2 linked regions of the Lepisosteus oculatus genome follow. The main gene of each other region encodes a partner of the protein of the gene in region 2 in a complex. Links are inferred from orthologs where the notes say so. Each region holds a gene or a part of one and is shown on either strand. Other genes may lie near its edges. The genes, in order: strap and gemin4.

Region 1 (15,852 bases), on a different chromosome or scaffold from region 2:
CTTCCATGCAGATCATGTTTGTGCAAGCAATGCTGCACAGTGGACTGGTGGACCACTAAACCTTCCTGCAGGTCCTTTGCAGTGATATGGGGCTTTTGCTTTGCATTCCTGACCAGTTTACGAGCAGTTCCATCTGAGATTTTTCTTGGTTTTGTCTTGACTTCAACAGTTCCCCTTAACTTCTATTTCTTAATGACATTTCGGAGAGCTGAAATTGCAAGCAGGAAGTGTTTTAATATCTTTTTATAACCTTCCACTGCTTTGCAAGAGTCAATTATTTTTATTTTCCGATCCTCGGTCATCTGCTTAGAGGAGCCCATGGCTGTTGAGAGTAAGCACAACACCCTGAGAGGTTCGAAGAGTCAGAGAATTTATTAAGCTCTGGATTTGTCATCACCTGACTTAGATTCAGGCCTAATGAATCAAGTAAGTTCTGAGACCTTATAAAAAAACTAAACTGGTTCAACTGCAAAGGTGCCCAGACATTTGCACATGCCACATTTACTTTTTTTTTCCAACCTGTTAAAGTTAGCAAATAAATAGTAACTGCGTATTAATATTTGCAGAAATATGTCAATTTTAAGTTTGTTTGCCGCAGAGGTTGTGTTAACTTCTTTTTACTAAGAAAATCAACAAAACATGTACATTTGGCCAGGGGTGCCCAAACGTTTGCATAAAACTGTAAATTCAGACACTTGATTTCTCCAATGAGTTTTCTGCATGTTATTCACTGAACAGGTTTTCCCTTTGGTCCCCATGTCATTTCTTCTTGATCTTGTTTTTTCCCCCCTTTCCATTCTCATTTCCAAAACAACTGTTGCCCATCTCTTTTAAACAAGACACTCGAAATGTAACACAAAGACTCCAATGCCAGAACTACTGCAGCAGGGGTTGTGCAGAAGTCAGTGAAGTCTTTTCTCCCCAGCTGCACCACTTGCACAAGAACTGATAAGTTTCACCATCACAACTCCTTTAACTCCAAGAACGTTCCACACACGGTCCGATTCCCAGGTACGCAAGGGAGAGTCTCAGCTTACCGCACTGTTTTGTCATCTGCAGCTGAAAGTATCTGCGTATCATCATTGCACCAAAGAGCCTTTTTAATGGCAGAGGTGTGGCCAGTGATCTCCTGAGGCTCTGTACAGGAAAACAAACCAAGACCCATTGTTATTTTAGACAGAAAGATGAAGACAGAATGATGTACCCAATTATTGTACAGTTATTGAACAGCTTACTGTTTGTTCTCAAACTAATTCTGTTTACTTCAAAGCAATGTATATATATATGCATGCATGTGTGTACAACAAAGCTACAGTGGATGTAATAAATCAAGTTGTTTTGTGTTACAAGTTGTGTTATTAATATACACTTGCTTCAGAATGTTTGTGTGGAAAATGATCTTCACACTTATCACACCAGAAAACTACAGCGTCATCAGTATGACCCTACCACGCGCATCTGCTTAGAGCATGGTAACCAGTATCCCTCACCAGTAAGCACTCACCTGCATCAGGCTTGCTCAAGTCATAAATGCGCAAAACTTTATCCTGCCCCCCGGTTAAAAGGCATGTACTGTCCTGCACATAGAAAAATGTTTAAAAATGTCACAATTAAAACCTATAAAAAACACAGTATAATTTTAGCAGTAACTTTTAGTGAATAAATATTCCTATATTTCTAGCACACAGTTTTAAAATTTAAATATAAGATTATTTACAGTACATTTAGCTTTTTTTAAAAAAAAAAAAGGAGTTAATTGTAACTACGAAGCAATGCATTCCAAGCATTTCAATATAATTGTCCAAGTCTCCATAGGGACTTCTTTTGCCTTTGTTAGGGCAGTTATCTTTTGCCACTACGCACAATTAACTGATCTTTTGCCACTGCATAACTTCTAAATTCTTATTACAACTCTGACTGTGTTTTTACATATATAGTACATTCTTAATCTGTAAGCATTAGAAGATGTCATTTTCACATGAACATACGTTTCAATACATTAAAAAAACTGCACTCTCTCGCCTAAGGCAGGCTGAACTCCTGAGGTTGGGATTGGATGGTCAGGGGTTTCTCTGTTCCTGGTGAGCGGCACAGAGACCCCTGACAGTAAGTTTAATTGTTGTAAACGGCTTGTTGTAAATGTCTTGCTAATGTTACTGGTCTGGCAACGCTGCATTTCGCCGAATTTTTTGTAATGTAATGTTTTTTTTAATGTTTCTTTATTAGCCCTATACAATTTCTTGCATTAGGAATTTGTCTTTTCGCATACCCCAGCTTTTTCTCCATGGGGACACAGACACACAGACAGGGAGAGAAGCTTGGGGACAGAGCGCAGGGTCAGCCATTGTACGGCGCCCCTGGAGCAGTTAGGGTTAAGGGTCTTGCTCAGGGGCCCAACAGAGTAGGATTCCTCTGGCGGCCGTGGGATTTGAACCAGCAACCTTCCAGTCACAGGCGCAGATCCTTAGCCACGGAGCCACCGCTCCGCCCAGCGAGCCCTGTGGCCTCCTGGGCACTGGAGGCTGGGGCAAGTAGGTAAGGGAGGACGTGACGTGACCAATACAGAGGAGTCTGTCCGCAGAGGTCAGGGTTCGAAGCTGTGAGCCAAGACATTACAAACACCCACTTGGCTATTTCCATATTGGACAAAAACCACCAACAGGAAAGTTAAAAAACATGCATATTTTGCTATTATAACAAAAGGGTTCATTAGTGGTCATGTCCTTTACGACCACATAATGTGAGCACTATATGTCCTTTAAACACTACACATGGATGGAAAAATAAGTTTTAATAACATTGCTTGATGTCAGTTTCTGCAGCCCAGCGGTTTTTGAAGAATATTTCATTTCAGAGTGAGATAAGATTTGGCTAATACTCAGAATTTGAATGTCAATGAACTATACAAAGATGTGGATCTGACCATTCCATTCCTTGCTCCTAATCTTGAACCCAATCTTGTATTCATGAGAGAAGCTTCTCCAGTCTTTACAGATAACATAAACTAGCGATAACACAAGCAGAACTACTGCATTAGCTTTAAGAAAGTTAATAAAAGGATAACGTTACCACAGTGACATGGTAAGCGTTTGCTAGAAAATGCACAGCTTTACAGCTGTGTGACTGGCTCTCTCATGAATTTCCAAGTAAAGTAACAAACCTGAGTGAAGTTCACAGACTTGACGATGTGTTTATGGGCTAGAGTGAGGACCTCATCCCCTGTAACAGCATCCCACACTTTGCTATAAGAAAAGAAACAAACCTAAGTCAGCAACACCCTCATCCCTTCCATAACTCAATGTGTCAGTAAGAATGATAACGATTTCCAAAACAGTTTTAATTGTTTACCAATAGCTGTGCGACTAATAGTCTCTTAAGATTGTATACTGAATCCTTCCAGAAAGAAGCAGAAACTTTCATCAAAACAGGTGGCTTTTTCGGTACGTGCAATACAGCATTATACAGATATCTGCAGTGCAGTCAGAGCCCATTCCCATTAAGACAGATCAACCCGCTGGATAGTGTAAATGACTCGGTTTTCCATTTCTCGTGTATATAATAGCAATCGCTCCCTGAAATGATCTCTTCCCCACTTACAAAACACTGAGATAAAATATAAATATTTTTAAGCTTAACAGAAGATCTGTCCTTGCGAGGCACCAGACCAGTGCCCATGTGTCAACTGATCTACCGTCAGGATCTCCATCTACACTAGCCAGTCGCACTGTCGAGCAAACGCTCCATCACTGGACCCCTTCAGCTGATCTGTCAGGGGAACGGACCCTCAACCTCAGATCTACAGCGCGCGGCTCGCGTTTCTCGGGACATCTTCTGAATGCACGAAGATAAACGTTCTGGACGGTGTCTTTGACACGGTGGGAGCGGACCGAGCACCGAGCGCCACCCGGCGAGCAGCGCCTCTGTCCCGCAGCGCAGTCCCCACGGCGGCGGCGAAGCCGTACTCACGCGGTGAAGTCGGCCGCAGCAGTGGCCGCCTTGGTGGCTTCTTTGTTCAAGGTGGCCCCCCAGACAGCACCCTTGTGACCCAGAAACGTTCCAATCCAGTCCCCTGTGTCCCCCTGGCGCAACATAGGTTTGCCATCTGGTGGGAGGAGCACAGAACACACACACACAGTTAGGACCGAGCAAAAGGTCAACGCTTCGAGAGCGTGGGAAAGATTCTGCAGACGGCAAAGTGACACGTTTCGCAGGTCACCAGCCGGCCCAGAAAACAGCCTTCCATGCCTCTGCACGAACCTGAAGAGATTAACGGTCTGATTTTGTGTGATGCTCAAATCCCTTGCCCAGGGGAGGCACTGTCAGCTGTTTCCCAAGAAAGTGTAGGATCCTTCAGTGTGGGATATTTCATTTGGAGATGCAGAGCATTTCAGTCGCAAAAAAAAACAACACAAAAACACACAGCTCACCTTTAATAATAATAATAATAATCTAAATCATCCTTAAACCCATATAGCTCTTTTCTGGACACCCCACTCAAAGCGCTTTACAGGCAATGGGGATCTCCTCCTCCACCACCAGTGTGTAGCTCCACCTGCATGATAGAACTGGAGGCAAAGTGAGCCAGTCTGCTCCCCACACACCAGCTCTCAATGGGGAGGAGAGCAGAGTGATGAAGCCAGTTCAGAGATGGGGGTTATTAGGAGGCCACGACGGGTAAAGGCCAGGGGGAACTTTGGCCAGGACACCAGGGTAACACCTCTGCTCTTTTCAAGAAGCACCCCGGGATTTTTAATGACCACAGAGGATCAGGACCTTAGTTTTAGTCTCATCCAAAGGATGGTGCCTTTTGTTTTTTTACAGTAGAGTCCCCATCACTATACTGGGGTGTGTGTATATATATATATTCTTTTTGGAACAGTACGTCAGCATTGAAGTATTTTTACACATACCCCTACATGTATCTAAATACACGTGCTCCCTTCCCAAGGATAGGGAGTGTTGTTCTTGCATAAATGCCATTTACTTCTTTTGTAAAGCGGTCCATTTATTAATACGACAAGCAGAAATTTTAATCTGTAACTGGATGACACAAACAGCAAATTTGCGAGATAAAGTATGGCCAATGTGTGCTTCCTGTTTAAAATGCGTGCCTGAGGAAACCCAGACCCTTAATAGAAAAGGCAACGCAGAAAGGTGTCCCAGGGCCCCTGGAAAGATGTGTGCCAGTTTACAAGACACAAAAAAGAGAAAGAAACAGGACAGAGCACAAACAATTGTATGTGACATTGTCATAATCATGAAGAGAACAATGGCAGCAGGCAACAACTCACCCAACAAGACAAACTGATCACTGTTTGATGAGGGTGCCGATCATGGCTAAAGGCTAAAGAGAGTGACCTAACTTAGAATCTACTGCACTCTGTGATTGAGCAGAATTCAGTGACTGGAGCACACACAAAAAACACAATAATACACATAAATATAATCCACATCAGACTGCGTCAGCACCTGCTTGATGAAGGGAAAGCAACTTCCATAAACCTCTACTCAAATCACATTCCTTCTCTAAATTACACCCCCTTGCAGGTAGTCTTTTAGTCATGCTGTCTCTCCCGAGATCAAGCACAGTCTAACCAACTCAACTCAACATGAAATAATCCAGGTGCCCTGCTACAGTCCACTGTCACTGCAGGGTTTTTACACTTCGCTGCAATGATGTCACATGGTCATTTTTTCTGTCTCTTCACGTTATTCAGAGGACATTCATTTTGGTCAACAGGTACCACGCTTCAAGTTAATTCATTTCTTATACATTCTTATAAAGCCTTAATGTTATATATGTATATATGGACACAAAAAAACACGTGTTGCATGTTAAGAATCTCTTTTAAGAATGTTCCACCTTCACTTTTTAGATTTTTTAAATTATTTTAGTCTCCGGAGCCTTCACCGTCAGGACAGTCGGGATATCAAGTTTCCAACATTTACACATTTAACACCGTGGAAACGAAGATTAAGTTTTTTTTTTTTCATTCAGCGCATACCTGCGCTGATGACTGATAAGAAAAAAAAAGATTCAGGCTGCAGATCGCTCTTGGTTGGACACCGTGAGCGACGCCAATATTATGTCTTAGAGATACCTTACCTTTGCACGCACTTATCAGGAAATATCCATAAGGGGTTATTCCGCTGAAAGCCAAGTCAACCACAGGCCGTGTGTGCCCAGAGCAAGTAAGCGGTGTCTGCCTCATAGCCATAACGCTCCTCGCAAATCAGTCCCGCACCAAGGGCAGGGAGGGAGAGAAAAACTGCACAAATACGGTCAGCGACGGGGGGAGAGAGAGAGAGAGACGAGAAGGAGCAGAAAGGCCTGGTATCTGAAAAAAAAAAAACAATAAAACAAAGCAAATTATTCAACGCCAGTTTGTAGTTTTTGTATGAAACACGCCTCAAGCTGGTGCTGTGTGTCTGTGTGTTTTTGCCCCGAGCGGACACTCACCGGTACGCCGTGCGAGGGCTGCCCAGGGGAGAGGAGTTTGGAGCCGGTAAGGACGGTCGGATCCCGGGACTGGGGTGGGGTGGGGGTGAAAGCGTTCGCCCTGCGGACAACGCTGTGCCGCCGGCTACCGTAGGCGACCGGTGCGGGAGGGGAGCTAGGAACGAAACAGACGGGGAGCAAGAGAAAATTAACAGGATGTGCCAGAGGAGAGAGGGTGACGCATGGCCGCAGCCGCCGGAAGGGAACAGAACAGCCATAACGCTCCGTGTGGAAACGGGGGAGCCGATAGCAGAGGAGCATGAACGCCTCTTCTCGCTCTTTCATTTCAAGTGTTTGATTGTAAAGCGGCTTTTCCAGCTGCATGATTTCACTTTATAGACCCCTAGATCTAGTACATCACTACGGTCAGCGTTCGGCCATGTGGCTGACGTGTTTCAGGTAACAGGTAACGGGGTCTGAAGCCCTCTTCAGGTGTGAGAAAGACATGGTAGACGACAAAGATTAAATAGCACCGGAGAACAAAAGCTGGGAAAGTGGAGGAGGGAGAGGGGAGAGAGATAAGGCAGAGGGGCCACTTAGGAAGTGCAAGTAATTTCTGGATGAGAGTCTTGGATCCAAAAGCTAATAACTACCCAACGAGTTAAATAGGACCCAGTGGCCTCTTCTCGTCTGAAACGTTTTGTGGGAGTTTGAAGGAGAGTGTTGATTAAAGTTTCTCAGACATGTATTTTACCTAGATTTATAGAAAACGTTAAGAAATAGATATATACAAGTATACAGTACAAAGAAAAAATAAACATGCATATCTGAGTTACCTCAAATCATAATCAGCAACATTTTTAATACATAAGAAATATCCATACACACATTTAATTGTGTCATGAAAGTGACTAGATGACCCAGATTGGTTAATAAACGTTATTTTATACAGAGCCTTTGAGAGGAAACTGAATCTCAGAACATGGAATAACTAGGCAATAACTCTGTACAGTACAGGCATTATCACAGCTAGTCAAATACTGCTGTCCTTGTAGAGACATCAAAATATGTAGACAAAACTGTAAAATCTTGCTTGTTGAGATAGCAAAAGCAGGTGCAAAATAAATGAATAAACCTTACACAAGCAACCATGAGGTTATATCTAAACTAGGTGCTAGTTTCTCGTTTCCTGTTGGTTTCTTGACTGTAGAGTGTTTTTTTTGTTTATTATTTAATGCCACTTAACTAGTGGCCCAAAGATGAAGCGTAAAATCTCCTTGCAATGATTTAATTTCAAATCTTACTGCAGCTGCTCTTCATAAAACCCTGCAGAATTTCCTCCCATGGAGCAGGGAAGGAAATATATACAGTGAAAATGGTTAAGAGAGATGTGACAGGGGAGCTAAAGAGATGGAAATCTGGTTGGCAAAGGCCAGGGGAAGTGTGGGAAACTGCAATCAGCAAATAAAGAGATTTAGAAAAACATTAGTTATACATTGAGTGCCGGAAAAAACAGTGTGAAACATCCATCCATCCAATTTCTAGCCAGTTTATCTGATACTGTCATGGGGGAGCCCTGCCCTATTCTGGTAAGCAACAGGTGCAAGGCAGGATACCTCCTGGACAAGATGCCTGTCCATCGCAGGGCCCACACAGATAGAAGCCAGTTAGCCTGGTAATATGTTCTTGGACAGTTGGAGGACATGAACAAAGAGACAATATAAAAACTAAATGCAGACAGCACCCCCTTGAATTGAATTGAACCCAAGGCCCCAAGCACTGTGAGCCACCAATGTTAACCACTGTGGCACCATACCACCTGCAGGAGTGAAACATGTTCAAAAGCTCATCTTGACTTCTGATCTCTTCCTGGTGTAACAGTTTCTAAGTTCTGTGTTGTTGTTTTTTCCTTTTGTCCTTTCTACCCCACCCCTCACCTCATCTCCCTGCTCTCTCATTCAGTTCAACACACACCTGAAGAGTCTCCAGGACCGAAACAGGGGTTTTCTTTCTTTTTACCTTACAGTATAGACTTACGTCTTCTTGTTCCTTTGTAGCTCACACTTCGGCACATTCCCCACTCTAAACCTCTCTGAGATCATGTTGAGCATTTTGTGTATGCATAGAAGAAGATTCCTATTTTTTATTTTAATAATGTAATGCTTTCCAGTTCATCATTGTTATTTAACAGTATTACTCTAACACAAACAAAAAGAAGTGTTTTGAGACTAAAGCCTCTCCTTGTTCACAAAACAGCCAGGCCAGAAATAAGGAACCCCTAAATGAACATACTGTTTGGGCCAAATGAGGTCTCGCTGTCATAAATTCTAACTTGACCATTCAGAGTAAAAATACAGTAGTGTCGCAATGAACACAATCTGTGACTTGTTTAGCAGACCGTTGTCTGTATATAAGATAGCTGTGAGTAACGCCAGACTACTGTATATTCACAATGTTTAAGACAAACATGCTGTTACAAACACTGTGTCTGAAAAGGAACACAATACAAATGGTAGCAAAAAGGCTGTAAGTCACAACTCAGACAGTTTATGTAATAGAAGCTGTGCGTTAGACAGCATTCCTCATTAGCTTCACTGCTTATTTGGTCTCTATAACCTTCAGAATAAATAAACAATTCTAACAATGAATATTACATTTTTATTTGGTTGGTACTTTTTCTGCTTTTAACAGTTTTGTCCTTGGCTCTAATTTAACTACAAAGCACATGCATCTGTATGTATTAGTGCAGTAGGACATGTATATATCTCACTTATCCAGCATCACAGTATCACCACTTAAGCACATTGTGAGAGCTGTTGATGGGGTCTGTTAATTTAGCCAAAAGTTACACTAAGATGCCATAAAGCTGACTTGCTTTAGCAGCCCCAGTGGCTTACAGCTACATAATAAAAGACAGAAACAACACCCACAAACAGGATAAACCAGACCAATATCTGCTGCATATCAAAGGACAGAACCTAGGGCAAGACAAGTAGTAATTACATATCAAAGAAAAGCACAAGCACTCAGATTGTGAAACGAACTTTCTCCTGACTGTATATAAGAGCTGGGAAACCCTTGCAGTTTGTCTGTTCTGCGGGGCACAACCAGCGCACGTTGTGTACTTCTTGCGCTCAATAAAACTGAATCTGCACAAGACTGTGTCCTGCGCCTCTGATGAAGAATTTCGTAACACAGAATTCTAATTTTTGTGCCTTGAAGGCGTGAACATTATAGTTCATTATTGTCATAAAACAGTATTTCACAATGATGCTGCAGCTCAAAAAAAGATTAGTGTTACTGCAGACATGAATCATAGTTTTAACACAGCATCTGTCTAATATGTCTGTATTCACACGGGCAGAACCGGAATTTTGCAAATAAGCACTCGATTTTGTCAGAAGACCATAGTAAAATCACTGCTTGTAACCCACATTCTATAGGTCTACCGTAAAATTATTCTTTAACCTTCAAATCAATTGTCCCTTGGCGATAATACAAACTCTCTCTACCTCAGGATGATCATACCTTGTTTTTTTAACAGAGAGCAAGAGTGGGTGTGAGTGCATGTGATGACGCCGTTTGAAGAAGGGAGCGTCGCACCCGGTTATATCCAGCATGTTCTAGAACTCTCTTCCCATTCTGGAATACTATGTAACTAATAACAACTTCTACGAAGTTGCTCATCAGCCGGTGTTTTTTTTTAACACCTTCTTTCGCATAAAACCAGCACGATGTGTGGTAGCTGATTAATTGCCTGCTAAAATTAGATCTCCTCTTTCCAAAAGGCTGCCGGGGTTTTGAAAGCTCTTGGCTTGGAGCAGCCCAGGTCCCTGCCAATTCAAAGTGTTACACACGACTAGGAAAATAAATGCGGACTGCAGAGCAAATGAGCTTTGGGCCTTATTACTGCGTATCGCCATGCACGGGGGAGTGTTTATTACGTATTCCAATGAAACAAAACTAAAACATAAAAAACAAAAATCCAGCAACTTCACTTGAAATACCCGACGCCGCCCGCACACAGTACACTGCCGGCAGAAAAACGTCACAGTCGCGGCAACCTTGTCACAATGAGGCAACGCCTCACCTGATGCTGTGACTCACCCCGGGACCAGCATGCAACGCGCGCGGGTTGCTTTACGAGGGGTTGGAACGTTCTAAGAAGCAGAACCAGCTGAGGCGATTCTAACTGCGAAGGCACGCGCGGGAGCTCGTCTACAGCCCATTGAAACGTGTCTTTTCTTTGACAGCCGTTAATAAAAGTGAGGGGGAAAAAAAAAACCGTACTCGTGATCATGGCCGACTACATCCACGTCCCTGCGGGAGCCCCAGCAGTCCCCAAATTAGATGTCACAGTAGACGAGCACGATTTCAGAGCTGGAGCCCAGAAACTTATCAAGGAACTGAGACCCCACTGGAAAGAGACAGATGTCAAGATGAAGGTATATTTCTCAATTTCGTACGCGAAATGAAGGATGTGCGCGGGTTTTTTTTTTATTAAGCGAAACCGTGGTTTGGGGGGGGCAGTGACCCGCTGCAGGGTTTTGAAAGGATGCCGGACGTTTTAGAGAAATTCAATGAAAGCCGAGACTGCCGGGGCGACGCCAGCCGCAGATGGGGAAGGGCGGTCGGAGAGGCCTCCGTGTCTGCTGGCGTGCGTGTCCTGGGGGGGGGGCTTTCCCCTAAATTACTGCACTGCACACTGCGCACACTGCACACTGCACGGGGGGGTGCAGCCTCCTTCGCCCCGTGCAGGGGGGAATCGCCCCGATCCCTCACCCCCGGGCCGTGACGTGTAAAGTCGTGCGTGTCGTTTCTGCTCGGTGGGCTGCAGACGCGCGGTGTTCTGCGTCGGGGGTTTTGTCTCGACAACCTTCATTTCTGTGCCGGGTTTTCGGTCTTTTTGTTTTTCTTCCTGCGTCCCTTTCATGACCGGATGGTAACGCTTAACACACACACACACACGTGTACATACTGTACATATATATATGCTATTTGATGTATATTTCACGTTTCGCGAAGCAGGTTACCGGCGGTGTGCGAAAGAAACGGATGCAGAGCAGGTGACTAGACTAGTGACGCAGATCTTTAGCCAAACTGCAGATTAAAGATGAACGCACGTCCTCGGGGCTGGAAAAGTTTGATCAGTTTCGTACAGTTTGTCTTAAAATCTTTTACTCCAGGAGCGTTTTTCCCCCCAAGTTTATTTGTTTCGGATCCGGTTGATTTAACACGTCTGCCCCGAAAATGATTTGCTGGACGTTTTGATTTCTCGGTTAACCATCACTAGTCGTATTTCATAAGTCGTATAAGTTTCTCTTCATTCCCTCTTGTGTAGTTCCTCACAGAAATGTATGTCCTGCAGTACGCCTTATGACCCGAGCGCAGTGTTCCCCTCATTAATGATCTTTTGCTTCTGCAGTTTCTCCAGTTTGATTTAAAAAAAAATAACAAAGGGTGCCCCAAGATCATAATTGATTAACATTTGATCGTTAAAAACATGTAAATATAGGTTAATAATTGTTCAAACTGGTTGTTAAACATTCATTTTAAGTCAAAAAAACCAAACCTTGTGAAATTAACAGGTCGAGCCACAATGTGCAGTGATACTGGCATCCTGCATAGAAAATTTGACTTCTGTTTCATACATTTCCATAAGAGAAAACTCACAGAGACTTCCCAAAGTTTTTCTTGTGCAGAGTTGAAGTTAATACAAAATTCCCATTTAGAGAGTCTTGAAGTAATTATAACATTGAAATGAAGATTACAATTGTAAAAATTGTATCACTTTTATTATAAAAATATTCACCCATAACCAGCGTGTGACCACTATGTATAATCTTATTACTAAACTACTAGATTATCTAAAAACATGTTAAGGTCAAATTGAACCTTCTATGAACACAGAATGGAGACAACACCATCCAACTGCTTCCAACATTTTCTGGAGGTCATGGGCAGATCTAGAAAATATCTTCTTTCTTCTTAAATGGTGTACGTTTTCAATGTACTTTTCGTGAAACAAGCTGAAGTGTGTACTGTACAACACTTTGATTCTTCATCTTGCATTGTGCATGCAGCCTTTTTGTGTGTTTTTAAGTGCTCCTTGCATCGTTTCCAACATTTGTATACAGCTGGGACAAATTCAAAGCACTGAGGATTTGCACAAATAGGCTACTATAAAACTTTGAGATGATTATCCGGCAATCCCTTCCCTATTAGGGGACTGGATAATTCTTGATTTACTGTATATAGTTCTTTTCATCCTAAAGGATACCTAATCACTTTCGCCCCACTACACAGCAGCTCAAGTAGAGAAGGGAGGAACTGTTCCCCTGTTTGTATGTGGGGCTCTTTAAGAATGCACGGTCGTAGATTGATGGTCTAAGTGACCCATAGCCACAACATAGGGCTTACCACCCCTGCTTCTTTTAGTTGTGCCACGGGATCGTGGATGACCAAGGACCGGCTTAAAAGTCTCATTAGCATACTGCACACGTTTGGGGAAATTACCTGCTGTGCTGACTGGACATCGTTACAGTGATGTAGTTTTACATCACTGAAGGGTAAGGGTCTCTGTGGCATGTGACGCACCGCAGACCGCAGCTCTGTAAGTGGGAAGAAACGCAGGTGGAGAAAGAGCACACGGGCGAAATGAGTCCTCACCCCAACATTAAAAACTCAAATTGTTTGTGTTTTCTTACATTAAAAATGATTATAGTATATGATTATTTGCAATATTGTTTTTTTTTCCTATTTGAGAATTACGGAGTATCCCTTTCATGAGTCGTATAATTTGAGTGCGCCGTTGTCCAAGTTCTTTACTGCGTTGTCAAACAGGATTATTGACATTCAGCAGGATCGGAATTCAGAGCAAGGCAGCATTTCAAGTTATTTCTATAGCCTGTTTCTCTAGCATTGAGGTGAAGAAAAATACATGTGTTTTACTTAATTGCGATGATTAAGTTAAGCAACAATAATTTGTTAATAATTTGTTAATAATTTGTTAAGCTTGTCACACTGCGCTGCTGGAAATCCTTGTTATTGTCCTCAACAATAGAAAATAATCTCGGTGACAGGTGCCAGAACGCACCCACAGTATGTGATCGAAATGCGGAATGTAGTACAGTAAACAAAAGTTAACAAGGACACTCCCTCTTCTCCCTTTCACCACTTCTCACTGTTGGGAGGTTCACAACTGGCACAAGCTTCACGATGAGTCATTTGTTTCCTTGACAGGAGAGATTTGGACTACGATACAATGAGCAGGTCAGCTGATGAAGAGTGATGGCATTGCACACAGGTGCATCCCTCTGACTTCGGCGTGTTTCACCTGTGTAAACTGATCTGCCTTTTGTTTAGAAAGATTATGGGTGCAACAGATTTGCTGCTATAGCAGCAGTGACCTGTGCGCGCTGGCAGCCGAAACCGTGGCAAACATTGACGGTCTGCCCCCTCTCGCCAAAAGATTAAAGCACTGAAGAGGCAGTGTGGGGTGAGTGACGTAGGCTTTGGAGCACCCCAGAAAAACTTTGTCACCAGAGTAGAGAAAGATGACAAAGTGAAATGAAAATATGGGCTATGGTAGCTGGATCACTACTGGAATGGCAAGGTCCCGGCTTTTAGGTAGGGGTTCCATTCACATTTACTGACCTCGGTGTGTTCCCACAGCTGCCTTCCACACTGCTGTTTCCTTCCTGCAAAACACTTGGCAGCTACCGCAGCAGGGCTAAAGGACAGTTTGGCGCCTCACAAAACATTAGTTGTGTCTTTGATATAACTTGAGACTTAACAATTCCAAACAAGGGAGTTGTGCACCCAGAAAAGTTTGAGAAGCTGCGGTTAGAAACAAAATGCTGGAGTAAGATCGCTTCAGGTTTTGTTTTTCTCCCATTGAAACATGAGAATCTGCTTTGTGTATTATTAAACATCTTTTTTTATATTATCATTCTTTTGGAAGGGATTACCTTTCTAATTAAGCAATACACCGATAAAACAAGTCTTAAGTTTAATACAGTTAAAGACATGCTGACTGATTTTTTTCCTATCTACAGGAAGAAATGCCATAAGCATAAAAGTAATAAACTGGCTAATTCTTTATGATTTGAGCTACTCAGTTTTAATTTAGTCAGTTTATTACCGTAATTAACGGTTTCCGTTAATTAATTTGCCACTTATCAGTTTTCTAGGTTCAGATGGTTCAGAAGCTCAATGCAGCACAATTGTTTGCAGTGTTTGAAGTTAAAGGTGAAACAGGAATTAAATGTGTAAGCAATCTCCATTAAACAAACATTTGCTGAAGTATTTAAGGTTGGTGCTATATTTTGTTAACGTAGGATTGGACACGTTTATCTTTAGATTCAAATCAAATAACAATAATATCCATTGTCAGTGTCATGTTTTATCAGTGGAGTCTGAATACTAAACTCCCTATTGGCAAATGTATTCTTGATAAACTAAAATTTTGCTATATCTTTTGATAGAGCAGGTTGATATTTTGTGATTCTTTAGATATTCTACCAGGAAAAAAAGATTTCCTTTAGTCATGAATTTCATTTATTTTCCCTCTATCTTAATGTATCTTTATATTTGGTATTCTTGGGGCACAATTATTTAATTCTGACGGCTTTGATTCCCATTTAAACTGTAGATATGATCTTATCTTTTTAATTTAAGAAGGCAATAAAATAATTCCAAACTGAAGACGGAAAATGTAAGGCTGGTGCTACATTTTTATTAATTGTAATTATATTAGCTAATTGATGCTTTTATCCAAAGTGATTTATATTAACACCCTTATACAGCAGGGTTTGTACTGCAGTAATCTTCAGTGAATCTTTCTCAAGAGTAACACACTTGTGCCTTACCAAGGATTTTAACCTTACAGTCGTGAGTCTTGAGCCCAGACCACTGGTCCAGACTTTTGCCTTGGCAGTAGATCATTCAGATCTTACTGTTTGCAGACTGCTGGACACATTCTAATGAATGTGGGAGAGTTACTGTACTTTAATGTTATAAATGCACAAATTAATCTGACACTTTTACTCACAGGTAACAAGTTGGAGATGTACAAGCGGGAATCAGGTGCTAGATGAGCAGTCACAAGTGATATGTGAAATGTGAAATGAATACAATTTCTGTGTGTGTGGCGTGAGACTTAGAAATGTATCACCGTCTAGGGCGATTTTTCATTCAGTTTTGTATTGAGAGGCACCAAGTTATTTTTTACTTGGTGTTTTATTTCATCTTAACATGAGACTAACAGATGGGTTGGGGCATTTGATCCATCTGCTTTGGTTTTTAGTTGGTAATCGATCTCATCCAGCTGAATTTTGGAAGAAGCCAGAGTATTGGCTTCAACGAGATGACTATATTACCTCACATTCAGCTTTGTATGTATTTCCCCCGTT
Region 2 (15,913 bases):
AAGGACGCAGGGTGCTCTTTTAAAACCGCTTCGTACTGGGTGAGGATCTCCAGTACGGCCAGGTAGAGGGGCTCGTAGGTGTGCGCGGGCATCATCACTGCCACGTGCAGCAGGTGGCAAAAGAGCTGCACAAACACGAACACCACTTCCTGGCTGCCGTGCGAGGAGTCGCTGGCTGGCGCCTCGGACTGGCCCGATGGGAGAAGCTTCCCCGTCACAGACTCGAGGATGCCCCTCATGGTGCCAGCATACAGCCGTCCCACGTGCAGCCAGCCCTTCTGAGGCAGCCAGTCCGAGCAGCTGGAGCCGCACAGCAGCTGGAAGGCTCTCAGCAGCAACATGGAGAGCTGGAGGTCGCCGGAGAAGTGCCGCAAGTTCAGCAGTGGCATGAACTCGACGTACTCCAGGGAGTATGGTACATGGAGGCACCTGGTTTGGAGAAGATGCCGTGCCACTTCCATAACTCTCCCCCACTCTGTGGACGTGCACCAGGGCAGGACCTGGATGAGAGCCACCATGAAGCCCTTGCTAAACATGTTGACCTCCTCTGCATTTTTCATGTCGACCATGAGGTTTTCCAGCATGTGGGTCTGGACATCAGCAGAAAGACAGCAACACTCCATCCAGGCCAGAAGCCCAGTACCCAGCCCATACATGGGCAGATCCAGTCCGGCCCACTTGTCTTCTGACAAACTGCACACTTCCATCATTGACAAGGGCACCTCATTTTTGAAGTGTTCCCTCCACACTCCTTTTAGCTGAAAGCGCACAGTCCAATCCAGAGCCTCCACTTTGTTGTAGAGCCAGTAAAGAGCTCTGGACCAGGTGCTGGGGTCAGCTGCCACCTCTTTGCCTACTACATCGCACATGACAGCCAGGATGTTGGTCAAGAGCTCCTTAGCCTCCAAGGAAACACTGACATCATGAGGCACAGGATCCTGCCAGCACCTGAAGGAGTTGTGTAAGAGCTGGCAAAGGGAGAAAAGGAGAGGAAAAGGAGGACAGGACATTACCCAGTGTCCAGAAGCCTGCGGGCCTCTGTGCTGGAGAGCCTGCTGGAGCACTCGCAGACATAGCTCTAGGTTGCAATTGCTGTCCATCAGATGGGGCAAGACGAATGTCCTGGTGACCTCCCCAGGCTGAAGAAAACAGAGTCTGCTCTCTGGCTCATCTCCTGCAGGGCTGCTCGGCTGCATGAGGAAGGCAAGGAAATGAAAGAACTGGTCCTCCTCTTTAGCTGAAGACAGTTTGCCCCACACTGTGTCCTTAAGGCAGTGGCAGAGCAAACTGCAACCAGCACTACTGTCGCTCTGCAGACCAGAAGGTTCATAGTAGATCAGTCCCGGCAGGTTCTTCAGGATATCAGCCAGGAGCCTGTGGGCTCCGAGATTCACCACTGCGAGATGACACACCCTTTGCAAGACCGCTTCTGGATTCTGGAAAGCAACCCTGGCGACAGCAGACACAGCACTGTCAAGGCTCTGCGGTGTTTTGCTCTGAGTGATGCAGTTGAAAGCCAAGTTCACCTCATCGCTGAAGCCCTCCATTACAGTCCTCGGCAGAACACCATGCAGTCCCTTCCTGCCAAAGGCAGACAGCGCCCTTGCCAGTGACGAATTCTTAAGAGGCAGAGGAAGCTCAGAGAAAATGTCCAGAATAATTCCCTTCAGTCTCTTCTGCTGAGACACATCTTGGGTCCCTGTAGCCGTGTTTGCAGTAAGTGTTGAAACCAATTTTAAGACTAACTCTTCATTTCTAAAGGCAGGTTTGTTCCTCTCCAAGCACTCAGTCCACTCATTAACATTGAAGACCAGGCTGGATGCGAACACGTGCGTCACTTCTTGAAACCTTCCCAGGCGATTATCAATAACTGCTGCTGCAACCCTTGCCAGCTCAGCGCCACCGCACTCCAGCTCAGGAAGAGCAATTCCCTCTCGCACCGATGTGAGGGAATGACTCAGTTCCCTCACAATCCCTCTTTCTCCTTCGCTCACCACCTCCTCTGACAACGGGAGCTCTTCCAAGGAGCTGATCACACGTGGAAGGCAGCTCTTCAGCCTGTAAGCCGCAGGGCTAGGCGGCCTGTCTGCTGAGATTGTTAGCAGTTCTTTCTTGCCCCAAATCTCAACAAGTTCTAACAGAGCTTTTAACCCTTGCGGAAGTGTTACTTCAGTGGGCTTGAACTGGGACGGTGTGTGAGCAGCTGCCACTTCTCGCTGTGCCTCCCTGATGTCCTCGGCCAGGTTCTCCTCCTGCCTGTGGCTACACAGCCTTCGCAGCTGGACTGCCCTTGCCAAGCTCTGCAGGTGCTCCTCCACGGGCTGCCTGGTCTGGCAGTCGAGCAGGAAGCTTGTGTACAGCATGTCCAAGCAATTGGAGAGGGCGAGACAGCAAAGGTCAGAGGTGGAGAAACACTCTGCTGTTTTGCGTAAGGCGTCAAGCAGGAGGGAGACCACGCACGACTGGCGAGCCACGTCAGGGTCAGGCTTGAACCTCTTGGCGGACGGGGCAGGCAGCTGGGACAGGTAGCTGGCAGCCTGAGCAGCAAAGGCCTGGACAATCCCATCCTCCGGCTTCTCCTCGGGGCTTTTCCACAGCTCCCACCAAACCTCCAGGAGGAACTGGACATCCTCCTCCGAGGTCTCGATGAGAACGTGTTCCACAAGTCCGGCCAGCTGTCCGCACAGGGCTCCCCCAGGGAACGCCGAGAGGAACTGCGCAAAGACCCTCGCACAGCCCATGGACTTGACCAGCTCAAACAGCACCGTGGGACTTATACTGGGGAGGAGGTTTTGCACAGAGAAAGTTGGATCCTCCTTCCACTTTCTGTCAGTATTCTCTCCGCTGTCCCGTTCCTCCCTCTTACTGTTCTCCGTGTCAAGCAGTCTGGTCCACAGAATACAAATAATCTTCTTCTCCCAGTGTAAGACATCTCGAGTGCTCAGGCTGCTGTCAGAGAGAATCTCCTGTACCGCCTGAACGATGGGCTTCCCCACACTGTGCCACTCGGACTTATTCAAGGCGGCCAGCTCCTTGGGACGGTACAGCTTCTCAGCCAGAAGAAAGCCTCCGTGGAGAACAGCTGTCTTCTCACAGCTGATCCACATTCCTGTGGGTTCAATTTTAAAGGCAGTTAATCCAAGTGTTAAAGTCAACAAAAACCTCCCACACACATTCTTCAAAAACAGATTTACTAGTTAGTGAATAAACATTAACATTTCAAGCGTAAATCTTTACATGTTGAACTTCTAGACCTTAAATCTACTTATCTACGTACTCAACAGACTGTGAGTTTAAAACTTCAGCTAGAGCACTTTCCTAATACAGCTACTGCTTATTCTCCACTACCACAGACAGAGAGAGAACTTAGCATGGTCCAGCAAGGAAGCAGCACTCCAGTGTGGAAACACCACATCCAAAAACAGTGACAGAGGCATATTAGTCAAGTTATCCCAACATGGAGAACCGGTTTTCCACCCCTGAATGGATACCTGCCACCCTTGGGCCTGGACAAGCACTGAATAGTATATTCATAATACAGAATATACTGAAGACACTACTCGTGATTTGAGGTGGATATTTAAACTCCGAGAAAACGCCGAGTTTTAGATGTGGTCTAACATCTTCTCTTCTAACTAGAGCAGTTACAAATACCCACTTACTGATTTCTGGAAAGACACCATATAAAATCTTTAAAATAATCAGGGAAAATGTTGTTCAGAGAAACCAGCATATTTCATAGGCAAGATGCAAATACTCTGTGTCGATACAGCAGGCGACAAACCCCTCCCCTATCAATCAGCTCTCCATAGCTGAAGGACGTTGCTGGGGCATCACGAACTCTCATCCTCCCCAGTCCCCCTGGACACAGGATCTCTGAACTGTTAACAGCACCATGCTCACCTACCTCTCCTAACAATTAAACACACAGTTTCTGTTTGCGTTAATAAGCTGTCTTTATACATGTCTGATGACAAAACATGGGACCGGCCCCCGTGCAGGGTCAGACAGTGGCTTACTACCACATTGATTTATGACCTGGGCCTCGGACTCAGCTCCTGGAGAGCCTGTGTCCTCAGCCCCAGCTAGGCTCTCAGTTACATAACTGCGATACCGCAATACACGATGTTTTAGATCTTCACTCTATTTCTAATCAAGTCAAATAACTAGAACTTTTGTGAAAAGTGATAAAAAGACCTCGTGAAAATACCACATGAATCTGAGGAAATAACCTGATTACTTGTTGGTCTACACAGGTTGGCACAAAAAGAGTCTGCAAGCCCTGCTTCACTGTACATGATGCACTTTACCATTACAGAGCAGATGTTATCAACACAAGCATGTCAGTTACAGTATTTCTACTATGAGCATAGAATCTGAAAGGAGGGACTGTACCAGGCTCCATTGTAGAGTCCAGATGTTCCCGATTAAAGCAGTCCTCACTCACACGTCCCCCATTGTACCCTAATAACGTGACAGACAGTATCTTCAGTCAACACTTTCAAAAACACACATTTCATATGTTTTCAGGACCAGGAATACACAGTTTGTTTGAACAAATACTTTTGAGTACAAAGGAGCAGTCAACTTAACTGCAATCAGATAAATTGTGTGCGATTCATAAATTTGAACATCTTCACAGAACGAATGCTGAGTGAATTCCTGGCTCTTTCTAGTTGGTTGCCGCCTGCTCATGAACTGGGCTGTAGGACGTGCGATTAAACCGAAGAGAGCTAATGAATGGACTTCATTGTATCGGCTTGAATCTGCTTAACAAAGTCAAGATAAACAAACACGCACGGAAAACGCGGTATACCGAAATAACGTACATTTTATTTTTTTACGCTAAAAACAAATCGAGGGTTAGAAACTAAATCTAAATTTAAGGCAGATTGCAAATGATCTACGAAGGTCTAAATCTAAACCTAATGCTTTAACTTTAATTATTTAGTTTACCACTACATAGGTGCCGCATGAAAAACACACACGCTCACTTACAAAAGATACCTTAATGCACCGAATTCCACCACCGTCGGGGTTATATAAAACTTCGCGCAACTCTCCACTCGAGACTAACCTGCCCCCCACGCACACGCGCGCCAGACTCGTACTTCCTCCGCCACAACACCAACGAGTTTCACCAGCTCTGCTGGAGGACCCTGGAGTCTCACTCTCACCGTGCGCGGTTTCTCACAGCGCCCTCTGCTGGGAGCACGGCGGCTTGACCGCTCCGAGGAGTTCCACGGTCCCGGCCGGTCGGTTTCTCTTGTTGTTGGAAGTTAACAACGAAATCGAATAAAGTAAAACCCCCTACAACACACAGACAAGCCCAAATCTAGATGTTAAAGAAATACTAAAAGTTAACACATAAACAAATATTATTCCTTAACAAGTAGGGAGCCGCGTCAGTATGCTGCGTAGGCTGCAAAGGAACAAGTAAAGGTTTATTTACTGTTGCAAAGAGAAGAAAACCTGAAAGAAACCTTTCAGGTATCACACCCGAAGAAGGTTCTACAGCCGAAACATTGTGTTTCTTTTCTTCTCTCTTCAGTATGGAATAAACCTTTACTTGTTACAGGTTTTTTTTTAATTCTATTTAAGTTGTAAGTCTTCTCTTATCTACTTAAGGTGTTCTTTCTTCCCCAGTAAATTCAGACTGACCACCACGCCAATGGCCCGTGTTCTCGGCGGTCAGACACGGGGTGGCCACAGGCCCACTGGGTTGTGCCACCCTGGAAGTCCCCGTGGTTTTTCTAACGCTGGCTGGTTTCGTGTTTCAAACACGCCTCTCGCGTCTGCTGCGCTTGAGAAATGAAAGAGAAAGTGAACTCGGGCTCCCCGCCTAATGGAGGCTGCAGAAAGGCGCTGCGGCAAGTCGGTCGTTCGTGAAAACGTCTGTAAGGCGCCACTATGATAACGACGGCGGTGCTCCTGTGTGTCCTGATCTGCTCGGGTGAGTGTCTCCACACCTGTACGACGCGGAAACGGACCGAGCGGTCTCCCCAATATTGGACCCCCCCCCCAAACACTCGCCTTCCTGCTCCGAACCCCATTACCGTCGTTTCTGTGACGGCGTGTTTGAAAATATTGTCTGAAAAGTATTGATATTCCCCACATCGATTTGATCTTTTTACACGCACGTACGTTTTTCTCCTCCCGCACCTGAAACCAGGAAGGAGGCGGTCCGTAACGAACAGGGCCGGTCGGTCCCTTTTCGGCTCTTCCCGGTGTCGTATCCAATGGTCCCTCTAAGTTTTAATGGCACGTTTGCGCACAAATTTCAAGTTGTGCAATTCTTTTCCCCCAGTGCCAAAACCTGTGCGCACTAAATTGAGTGCATGTAAAACTGTAAAGCTGAAATTATTTTTCGTTAATATAGTCGTTCTCATAAAAGCATAGAGATCTAAAAGACCGGGACAGCGATTTATCGAACCCAGTCATAGAGACTTGAGTGTGGAGCCAGCATGAGCGGTGAGGTACGAGACGAGCACAAATATCGATTATCGAGTAGCAATAATAATGCAAACAGCCAAGTTGGGCCTCTCGCAGCCAGTCTGTTGTGTTCAATTTAGCATTTTTCAATTGATGACCGTGTTTGTTTTATTATCATCATTTTTTTCATTACATTTTTTGTGCGCAGTTCAATTTCCTATGTGCGACGATTTCATAACCTGTGTGCGCACGCACACACGCACACAGCGTAGAGGAAACACACGTCGTATCCCAGTATCTCCTGGGACACGACACCTGTCTGTTCCTCCAGATCACCGGCTCCCGCGGGGCCCTGAACGCTTTAGCGCCGCAGCTTGACATCCGTTTCGACACCCGTTAAACCCGGCTGCCCTCCCTCGGGCGACCGCGGCTGCGAGGCGTCTGTGCGCAGTGTGCGCAGTAGGATCTGTAGGCGCCCTGGTGCTTATGCACAGATGCAGGAACGAGGAAAGCTGTAAATAAAAGCTCTGGACGGGCGAGTTTTGAAAGATGAAATACGGCTGTCCCCCGCTTCGCCTGCCAACAGCTGAGACTCTGCAGGACTGCGGTCTGTTGATTGGTCCGCGCTTTCAGACACTGCCGGATTTCACCGATCAGAATCCTGCTTGATATGAGAAGGAATCTGGACTCGTGCCCGATTTGACTTCATTCCAGTGGGTGTCCACTGTCAGTGTCCTGCCTGTATTTGCACCGTGGACCAGGAAGAACGATATTTCGTTCCACTGTATACTTGAATATGGCTGGAATGATAAATAAATGTGAACTTGAACTTCCTTTACTTAAAACGTACACGGCAGGTACTGTATACCTTGCGTTTTGTGGAAATCTAATTCCGCATAATTCCGAAACTAGCGTTGTGCACTGCTGCAGCGAAACCCGACCGTGGTTACTCCGAGCTCTGCGGAAGAGTCCCCGCCAGGAGTCAGAGGTCGACCTCAGAAAATAAAATCACACGCTGTTCCTCTGCGTGTGTTGCAGTAGTTATCATTCGTGAATCCTGCCAATGAGCTGTGGATTCGTCTACAGGGACCCGTCTCGCTTCTCCTGTGAGCTGCTGTCTCTGGCGATCTGCGTGCACACACTCACTCACACACACACTCACTCACACACATACACACACTCACACACACACAAACTCACGCTCACTCACACACTCACACAAACTCACGCTCACTCACACTCACAAACTCACTGAAACACACTCATGCTCACACACACTCACTCTCACACACACACACTCAGTCACACACACACAAACTCACTCACTCTAACACACTCACACACTCACTCTCACTCACACATGCTCAGTCACACTCTCACACACACACTCACACACACACACAAACTCACTCTAACACACACACACACTTAGTCACACTCACTCTCACACACACACTCAGTCACACACTCACACACACTCTCACACACACACTCAGTCACACTCTCACACACTCACTCACACACACACAAACTCATTCTAACACACTCATGCTCACACACACACACACACAAACTCACTCTAACAGACTCACGCTCACACTCACTGACACACACACACTCACTCTGTGTGTGTGTGTGCGCATGCCGACGGAACTCCTCTCCTCTCCGTGCGCTCATGGTCGCTGTCTCTCCCTCCCTCGCTCACAGGCCTGCGCTGTGTCCGGTCCGAGTCGCTGGCCGAGGCCGGGCTGCTGGCCTGCGAGCTGGTGGAGGAGAGGGTGTCCAGCGGGCTGAGTGGGGCCCCTGAGACGCAGTTCGTCAACAGGAAGGCCGCGCTGCTGCTGGCCCGGCCGGGCCGGGAGGCGGACACGGCCCAGAGGCTGCAGGAGGCCCAGCGGGCCGGCGTCGTCACCTTCCTGGCCACAGGTGGGGTCGCAGGTGCAGGACGGTAGGACAGGCAGACAGGCCAGGTCAGGCATTACAGTAGAGTCGCGACTATCTGACCTTCGCTTCTCTGACATAGCCAGTCACCATAGTGTACAGTATATGTGTGCTCGTGCATAATATTGTGCCCAGTCCGATGCTGCTCTGTCTCTCCGTGCGTCACGTACTGCCTTTGACGTAGCTTCGCTTGCCAATTTCACACTCGTGATTATTTTTCCTACTGTCTTTTCAAAGCGGCACTAGTGTCGCGCCGCCCTGTACACCTAGAGGGTGCTCCACTTCTGTCCTGTTCCTAGTTCCCTGGGATTCTTCATGTCTTTCTGGTGTGTTTTGTTCTGTTGCTTATTTCCTTCCTGCATCTGCTCCGCTCCTCGCTCAGTTTCATCGGCCCAGATGTCGTGAGACCTGCCTCGTATCCAGGTCACCCTCCCCCCCCGTCCGTGGCCTGAGGGCATTGGTTTCTACCCCGACATCGACCCACCCCCTGAGCCTGGGCTAACCCCCGTGTTGCCCCAATGTTACCGCTATGCATAGGGTCTCCACTGCTCACCTTGCCCTTCCGCCATCCGTGACAACTAGCTTTTGTTGAACCACAAGAGGCCATGCTGCTGATTGCATTTTACTAAGACCCTGCCACAAGGAAGTGAAGCACACTTGTTGTTTTTTAATAATAACTAACAATAGTTCGGTAATCTGTTATTTTAGTATGACAGTAGGTCAATAAACCAGATTTCATTATTATACTGCGCTTTCATTAATCCATGATTTGTTTACTCCGTTTCCGCGGCATCCGACGTGCTATTGGTCAGATAGCCGTTTAGGTCAGATAATCGTGACTCTATTCTCCAGCTCTGGAGTGTGACTGGAGTGTCCAGCTCTGTTGGGGTGGTATGGTTGTACCTCTGAGAGCTCGAAAGGCTTTTAAAGTAAGCTCACTTTATTAGCCCTATACAATTTCTTGTATTAGGAATTTGTCTTTTTGCATACCCCAGCTTGCTCTCCATGAGACACACAGACAGGTAGAGAGAAGCTGGGGGTCAGAGCGCAGGATCAGCCATTTATACAGCACCCCTGGAGCAGTTGGGGGTAGAGACCTTGCTAAGGGGCCAAACGGAGTAGGATTCCTCTGCCGGCCGCAAGATTCGAACCGGCAACCTTCCAGCCACAGATCTTTGGCCACAGAGCCACCGCTCCGCCCGCATCAGGGCTAAGCGTGAGCCGAGCCGAGCAGGAGACAGCAACACCTGCAGGACACTTCTCGCTGGCTGGCTTCAGAGCCCTAACCAGGAGCTGTGATAATTGAAACATGTACCAATGTGCTCACCTTGCCCGCTCACCTCTAAACGCTCCGTGCTGCTCGTACCACCTGCGCGGGATCGAAGCGCCGTGCAGCGGGTGCAGTTTTCCCTGACGGCGGTGTCTGTCCCTCCTGGCGGTCCCGCAGGCTCGGCGGTGGACGTGACCCGGCACGTGCCTGGCGGGACAGAGCAGCTGCAGTGCGAGATCCGCAGGTACTCCACCGGAGGCATCCAGGTGCCCTGGAAGGGCACGGCCGGGCCGGACAGCGCCTGGTTCACCTGCACCCTCCGGCACAGCGCCAACGAGTTCATCGTCACGGCCTTCCTGCTGTACCCCAGCCCCGCGCCCCAGCAGCCCATCGGCGACGCCGACACCCTCAACACGTCAGGTGGCGCGCTCGCGGCAGACCCAGGCTAGCTGGCTGAGAACAGAATTATTTCCGATATTATTTCACTGAATACTGAGAATCTGTTCATGCTTTAATTTATTGAGACAACAAGTACTGCAGGAGCCCTATCACCCTGAAGCTCAGCAGGTGTGAGCCTGGTCAGTACCTGGATGGGAGACCTCCTGGGAAAGCTAAGGTTGGTGCTGGAAGAGGTATTAGTGGGGCCAGCAGGGAGCGCTCAAACTGCGGTCAATGTGGGTCCTAAGGTCCCAGTATGGTGACACTGTCCTTCTGATGAGATGTAATACGGAGGTCCCGACTCTCTGTGGTCATTAAAAATGCCAGGGTGTTTCTCGGAAAGAGTAGGGGTGTTATATTACCCAGGTGTGGGGGAGGGGATCCCCATTACCTGTAAAGCGCTTTGAGTGGAGTGTCCAGAAAAGCGCTATATAAGTGTAAGCAATTATTATTACTATTATTATTACTGGATGTTCCCTTGTACTATTTTGGCTGAAATCCGTTCCTGATCCTGTGCAGAGAAACAGCTCACGAGGTTAATTACCTGCTTGACCAGCTGTCAATCTGGAGTGGCCCAGGTGGACCGCTGTCTCACCCCTCTCCCGGTCTGTCTCCCCGGACTCCACAGTAGCCATGGTGGTCCTGACCCGGACGCCCACAGTGCAGGCAGGGCTCCTGCAGGACGCGCGCCTGGACTGCGGCTTCGCCGTGGACCACGCCCAGCCTGACGTCACGGTGGAGTGGCGCTTCCGGCACCGCGGGGAGCAGCGCAAGCTCTTCAGCTACTCCCGGCGCTCGGGGCGGGCGGAGACGGAGGTGCCGGGGGCGACGGCGGCGGCGCGGGACGTGTCGCGCGGGGACGCCTCTCTGCGGCTGTCCGCTGTGAAGGTGAAGAGCGAGGGCACATACGTGTGCTCCGTCTACGTGCCGCCGCTGTACGGCAGCCATGACGTCCAGCTGCAGATCATGGGTGAGGAGCGCACTGGGGTCAGAGGTCGGGGACCGGGGGTCAGGGGTTGGGGTCAAGTGACGGGGGTTGGGGGTCAGGGGTTGGAGGGTCAGGATTGGAGTCAGGGGTCAGCGTTCGGGTGTGAGGGGGCAGGCAGAGCTTGTCTTTGAAGAGAATAGAAGTGTAGAGTCTTTCCTGATTGAAAGAGAAACACACTGCCCAGTTCTCCCTCATCACACACCTGCATGACGATATTTCCAAGAAATTAAAGAAAAGCGCTGATGTTCGTTGTGGAACTCCTGCCTGTTAGGACTTCTGTTTGCCTGTGTTGATGCTGTCTGCCCCTGCCTGCAGAGAGCCCGCGGGTGTCCCTCAGCGTGGCCACTGCCCTGGCGCTGCAGGAGGAGGAGGAGCAGAAGGTGGTGTGCGAGATCACTGGCTACTACCCGCTGGACGTGCAGGTGGACTGGCTCCACGAGCAGGGGGGCGGCGGCCGGCTGCCCCAGGTCATCAAGAACATCCTGTTCACCAGCCACCGCCACCACGCCGACGGCACCTACAGCATCTCCGCCTTCTTCATCCTGCGCCCCTCGCTGGCCGACCACGACGCCCGCTACACCTGCCGGGTCTCCCACGTCTCGCTGCGCACCCCCATCCGCAAGAGCTTCACCCTCACGGTCACAGGTCAGCCCGCCACGTGCGCCCAGGGGTGGAACTGTCCCGATCTGCGCCAGCGCCCCTGCAAGGGACGCAGCAGAGTCACGTGACCTTGAGCGCGCGGCGCGGCGGAGTCACGTGACCTTGAGCGCGCGGCGCGGGAGAGTCACGTGACCTTGAGCGCGCGGCGCGGGAGAGTCACGTGACCTTGAGCGCGCGGCGCGGGGGAGTCACGTGACCTTGAGCGCGCGGCGCGGGGGAGTCACGTGACCTTGAGCGCGCGGCGTGGCGGAGTCACGTGACCTTGAGCGCAGCACCGGTCATCACACTGGTCAGGTGTGCATGACTGGGAGAGTCCGAATGTTTAACAAGAGGACCAAGAAATGATACGAATATTGTATCTGAAATTTAGATTTTTTTCAATTTGCAAATTAAAGAATACATGCACTGTGCTAGACGTTTGATGTATTCTTTTTTTAGTCTTTGTCCACTGGAGGACAGTATTTCATAAGAAATAACTCTTCCGATTACAGCTACACTTACTATAGAAGATAGTATTGTGCATTATTTGAGACATTTATTTATGTTGAGTCCTTTGTAAGTATCAGAGAACCGACCCTGGTCTTGTTTTATGTTCACAGAGAGGCTGAGGATTGGTTCGATTCTTTTCTGGATATTTGTTGCGTTCATTGTGATGATGCTACTACTGGTGTTGGTTATTCTGCTGCCCTACCTTCACAGTGGTGAGTTTTCTTTATTTTAACAAAACGTAGGATAATAATGGGGTCAGGAGCCACAGACAGGGATAATAATAATTATTGCTTACACTTATATAGCGCTTTTCTGGACACTCCACTCAAAGCGCTTTACAGGTAATGGGGATCCCCTCCACCAGCACCAGTGTGCAGGCCCACCTGGATGATGCGCCAGAACGCTCTCCACACACCAGCTCTCAGTGGGGAGGAGAGCAGAGTGATGAAGCCAGTTCAGAGATGGGGATTATTAGGAGGCCATGATTGGTAAAGGCCAGGGGGAAATTTGGTCAGGATGCCAGAGTAACACCCCTACTCTTTTCGAGAAACACCCTGGGATTTTTAATGACCACAGAGAGTCAGGACCTCGGTTTTACGTTTCATCCGAAGTACAGCACCTGTTTACAGTATAGTGTCCCCATCACTATACTGGGGTATTAGGACCTACATGGACTGCAGGGTGAGTGCCCCCTGCTGGCCCCACTAACACCTCTTCCAGCAGCAACCTTAGTTTTTCCCAGGAGGTCTCCCATCCAGGTACTGACCAGGCTCACACCTGTTGAGCTTCAGTGGGGTGGCAGCTGTGAGTTACAGAGTGATGTGGCTGCTGGTAATGATTCTGTCCACCCAGAGAGCACATACCAGTTGTCTTCACTGAACACTGAACTGCAGCACAGTGGAGTGTTTCTGACTAACACTTTGTCTTCATGTTTCTCTTTCTTTTTTAGCAAGGAGAGAAGCGAAAAAGGTGAGTGATACAATACCTCCAAAATACCTTCTTCAAGTTAAAGTGTCCACACTTAAAAACTATACCACCTGTACTGTTTTTTAGCTGAGCTTCAAAGCGTGTGGCCTCTCAGTGATAGCTAGTCAGCATAGAAATCTGTATTGTATTAAGGATGGGTTTTCATGAACTGTAAAGAATGTAAGTTATCTGTAAAAAAATAACAACTATTTTCTAGCTGATAAAATTGAAAAAAGCATAAAAGCACCTTTATACAAACATTGTGTTACAGACAGTTCAAGCACTTTCTTAAAACAGGCTTTACACCTCCACAGTCACTGAGATCTGCCTGAGTTGTAAATTGTCCCTACTTTGCAGAAGAAGCCATACTGAAGGAGATCTGGGCCTTTGGGTGTCGTGCCAGCCTGCACCCCCGTGCCTTGTTCTCCAGTGCTGAGCGACACAGTGCTTCCCAGAGGGACCAAGGGGTGCTGCCCAGAGCCTGGGTGATTGGTTTATCAAAGCCAGTGCCCCCATGTGCTATGAGATTTACACCTGGCTTCCCAGTGGAACATTCCTGAGGTAAAACCCGAAGCAGGCGGACACAAATATCCGTCACTGTGACATTGCACACGAGCCAGTCCTGGGCGCATGGCACTGGACTGACACGGATAAACAGCCGGGTCTGTTGCCACCCTGCTGTTCCACTGTTTGAGACGCTGGTCCCTTTATGATGCACGTGTTGCCGAAATGACCAATCAGTCTCGGAAGAAGAAGGACTTTAAAAACCGGGTCATTCATCGAAGCCACCCCTCTGTTTCTCTGAATGCAAACTCTCAGCCCTGTGCGACGAAACCGGTTTTTGATTTGTGTTTCGGGGGGGGGGGTAAGTTTCATTTCTGTGGCAGTAAAAGCAGCTGTAAATGTGAAACTGTGTTCGGTGCTTGTATGTGCATTTATTTAAGCTTTGGGATCCAGTTCCACAAAAGAGCCACACTCACAGCGTTGACACAAAATACATTTTATTTCATAGCAAATTTCGCATGGGCACATTACATAATACCAAATATACATATACATGATTCTCTCTTAAATTCCTTAATGTAATAATTCCCTCCATTTTATACATCACAATGAACATAGAAGGCAATCTGCTAAAATGGCAATAAATTAAATCTTGGCGATATACTGTACATCATATTAGGTGTGGACGGTTTCTCGAGCACCATCTGGAGGCTGAAAGACGAAAGATCACATCCAGCACACTCTTCCCCTTCCCTCCTGGGGACCTGCTATCCCACAGGTCGGCGAGGAGTGGATCAGAACGGGCTTGGAGAACCAGAAGGGGAACCGCTCTGAACTAGACTGGCACTGACAGCCTTCACGTTAGGATTAGCGCTTTCCCGGGAATGCACATATGAATCCACTTATATGGATTTAATACAGCCTCTGGTGATAAAATACAGTATCTACACTTGATGTTTGAATCTTATATTGCACTCTTGACTACTGTGGTTCAAGGTATGAAGGCGCTGCAGGAATTGTACTTTCCAGCAGCTGTGAAGCGAATTTTCCGATCTTTCTCTGGCCTTGCAGTCCGAATTCTCGCTTCCTAGTTCGCGTGCAGTCAGCTCTGTCTCGAAGGAACTCTTTGCCCCCACTACCCTGTGTGACCGATCTGCAGAAAGAGACTCCTGGTGGTCCTGTGGGCCTTTCAGTAACACTGCTGTGCACCATCAGTGGGAAATCTACTGTATTGTCAGATGGCATGAACACAAACCTGAGTCCTCGAACACCCAGGGATGTGCTCCCACAGGTCACGGAATAGACTCAAGTATTGAACACTGAGAAAAAATGACTGATAATCACAGACATCTGAGGATAACTATATCGCCGCACCTGGCTATAAACTACTCATCCTTTCACAGCCAGCATCTTTACAGCCAGCAGGCCCATAAGAGGGCCCAGTTAAAACAGTGCCGGAGAGCAGCAGAGCCCCAGCACAGCTGGAAGCAGGACGGTGGCCTGTGGGATACTTCGCACTTGACAACAGTTTCCTGAACAGGGTACAGATAGTCACTTACAGGGCAGACATTACAAACTGCTGCACGCCTGGCTAGCTGTGATGGCATTGGCGAACTTTAGTGTGAAAAAGTTACTGAGAATCGTTAAAACAGATTTGCAGCGGACGAGTGACGTCAATCTAAGTGGCCTCGTGTTTGTGTATTTAATTGTACAGCAGAATTCTGGCACATGGCCTCCTGAGAGTCCAGTCCATTGGAGAAAAGGGCTCTGCCTCCAGAAACCACAGGCAGGTTAACAGGCCCTGATTCACAGTTTCAGCAGCAGCAGGCAGGTATCACAGGTGTCCTGGCACGTTTTCAGAACAAATAGAGTCTTGGGTCTGGCCCACAGCAGGCGGTGTGCCCTGCGCTCTCAGAGACCCCAGCTCGGCACAGATGTCCGTGCTGACATGACAAACTCCACTCTACTGGAATGCAACTCCCAATCATGTTTCCCCTTTTTCATCTGGCAAACAAATATTGTTCTATAATTTTATGCGCCACTATTTAGCAATTGACAAATGTCCTTTGCTGATTCACCCGAACCGCAGCTGGACTAGCCTAGCAGAAAGAAGGGCAGTGCCACCTGCTGGCCAGGATGGCAATGTGACTCTTGCTGACAGCACCACTAGCTCACAGGCACTAGTGCAATCTGTGAGCTGGCCCCCTCGGTCTCTATGAGGCTTT

What was found.
Region 1: gemin4 (region 2) and strap share a complex: the UniProt entries of both Homo sapiens proteins name them as parts of the SMN-Sm complex. The link is inferred for Lepisosteus oculatus from reciprocal best matches to the Homo sapiens genes GEMIN4 and STRAP.

Annotation. Positions count from the first base shown.
Region 1 is NC_090702.1:51,130,522-51,146,373, forward strand, and holds the start of strap (serine-threonine kinase receptor-associated protein), read right to left. Parts: upstream 6,690-15,852; 5' UTR 6,461-6,689; intron 6,339-6,460; 5' UTR 6,219-6,338; coding exon 6,107-6,218; intron 4,103-6,106; coding exon 3,967-4,102; intron 3,243-3,966; coding exon 3,161-3,242; intron 1,578-3,160; coding exon 1,505-1,577; intron 1,138-1,504; coding exon 1,038-1,137; intron 1-1,037. Other genes in the region: etnk1 (ethanolamine kinase 1), read left to right, coding at 10,738-10,884. UniProt on the Homo sapiens protein: The SMN complex catalyzes the assembly of small nuclear ribonucleoproteins (snRNPs), the building blocks of the spliceosome, and thereby plays an important role in the splicing of cellular pre-mRNAs.
Region 2 is NC_090721.1:10,942,075-10,957,987, reverse strand, and holds the start of gemin4 (gem-associated protein 4), read right to left. Parts: upstream 6,252-15,913; 5' UTR 6,145-6,251; intron 5,954-6,144; coding exon of another isoform or gene 5,911-5,953; exon of another isoform or gene 5,812-5,910; intron 5,746-5,811; exon of another isoform or gene 4,999-5,745; intron 4,465-4,998; 5' UTR 4,406-4,464; coding exon 4,396-4,405; intron 3,110-4,395; coding exon 1-3,109. Other genes in the region: dhrs13b.2 (tapasin-related protein), read left to right, coding at 5,911-5,953, 8,140-8,358, 9,821-10,063, 10,710-11,051, 11,385-11,714, 12,329-12,430, 13,168-13,187, 13,542-13,556. UniProt on the Homo sapiens protein: The SMN complex catalyzes the assembly of small nuclear ribonucleoproteins (snRNPs), the building blocks of the spliceosome, and thereby plays an important role in the splicing of cellular pre-mRNAs.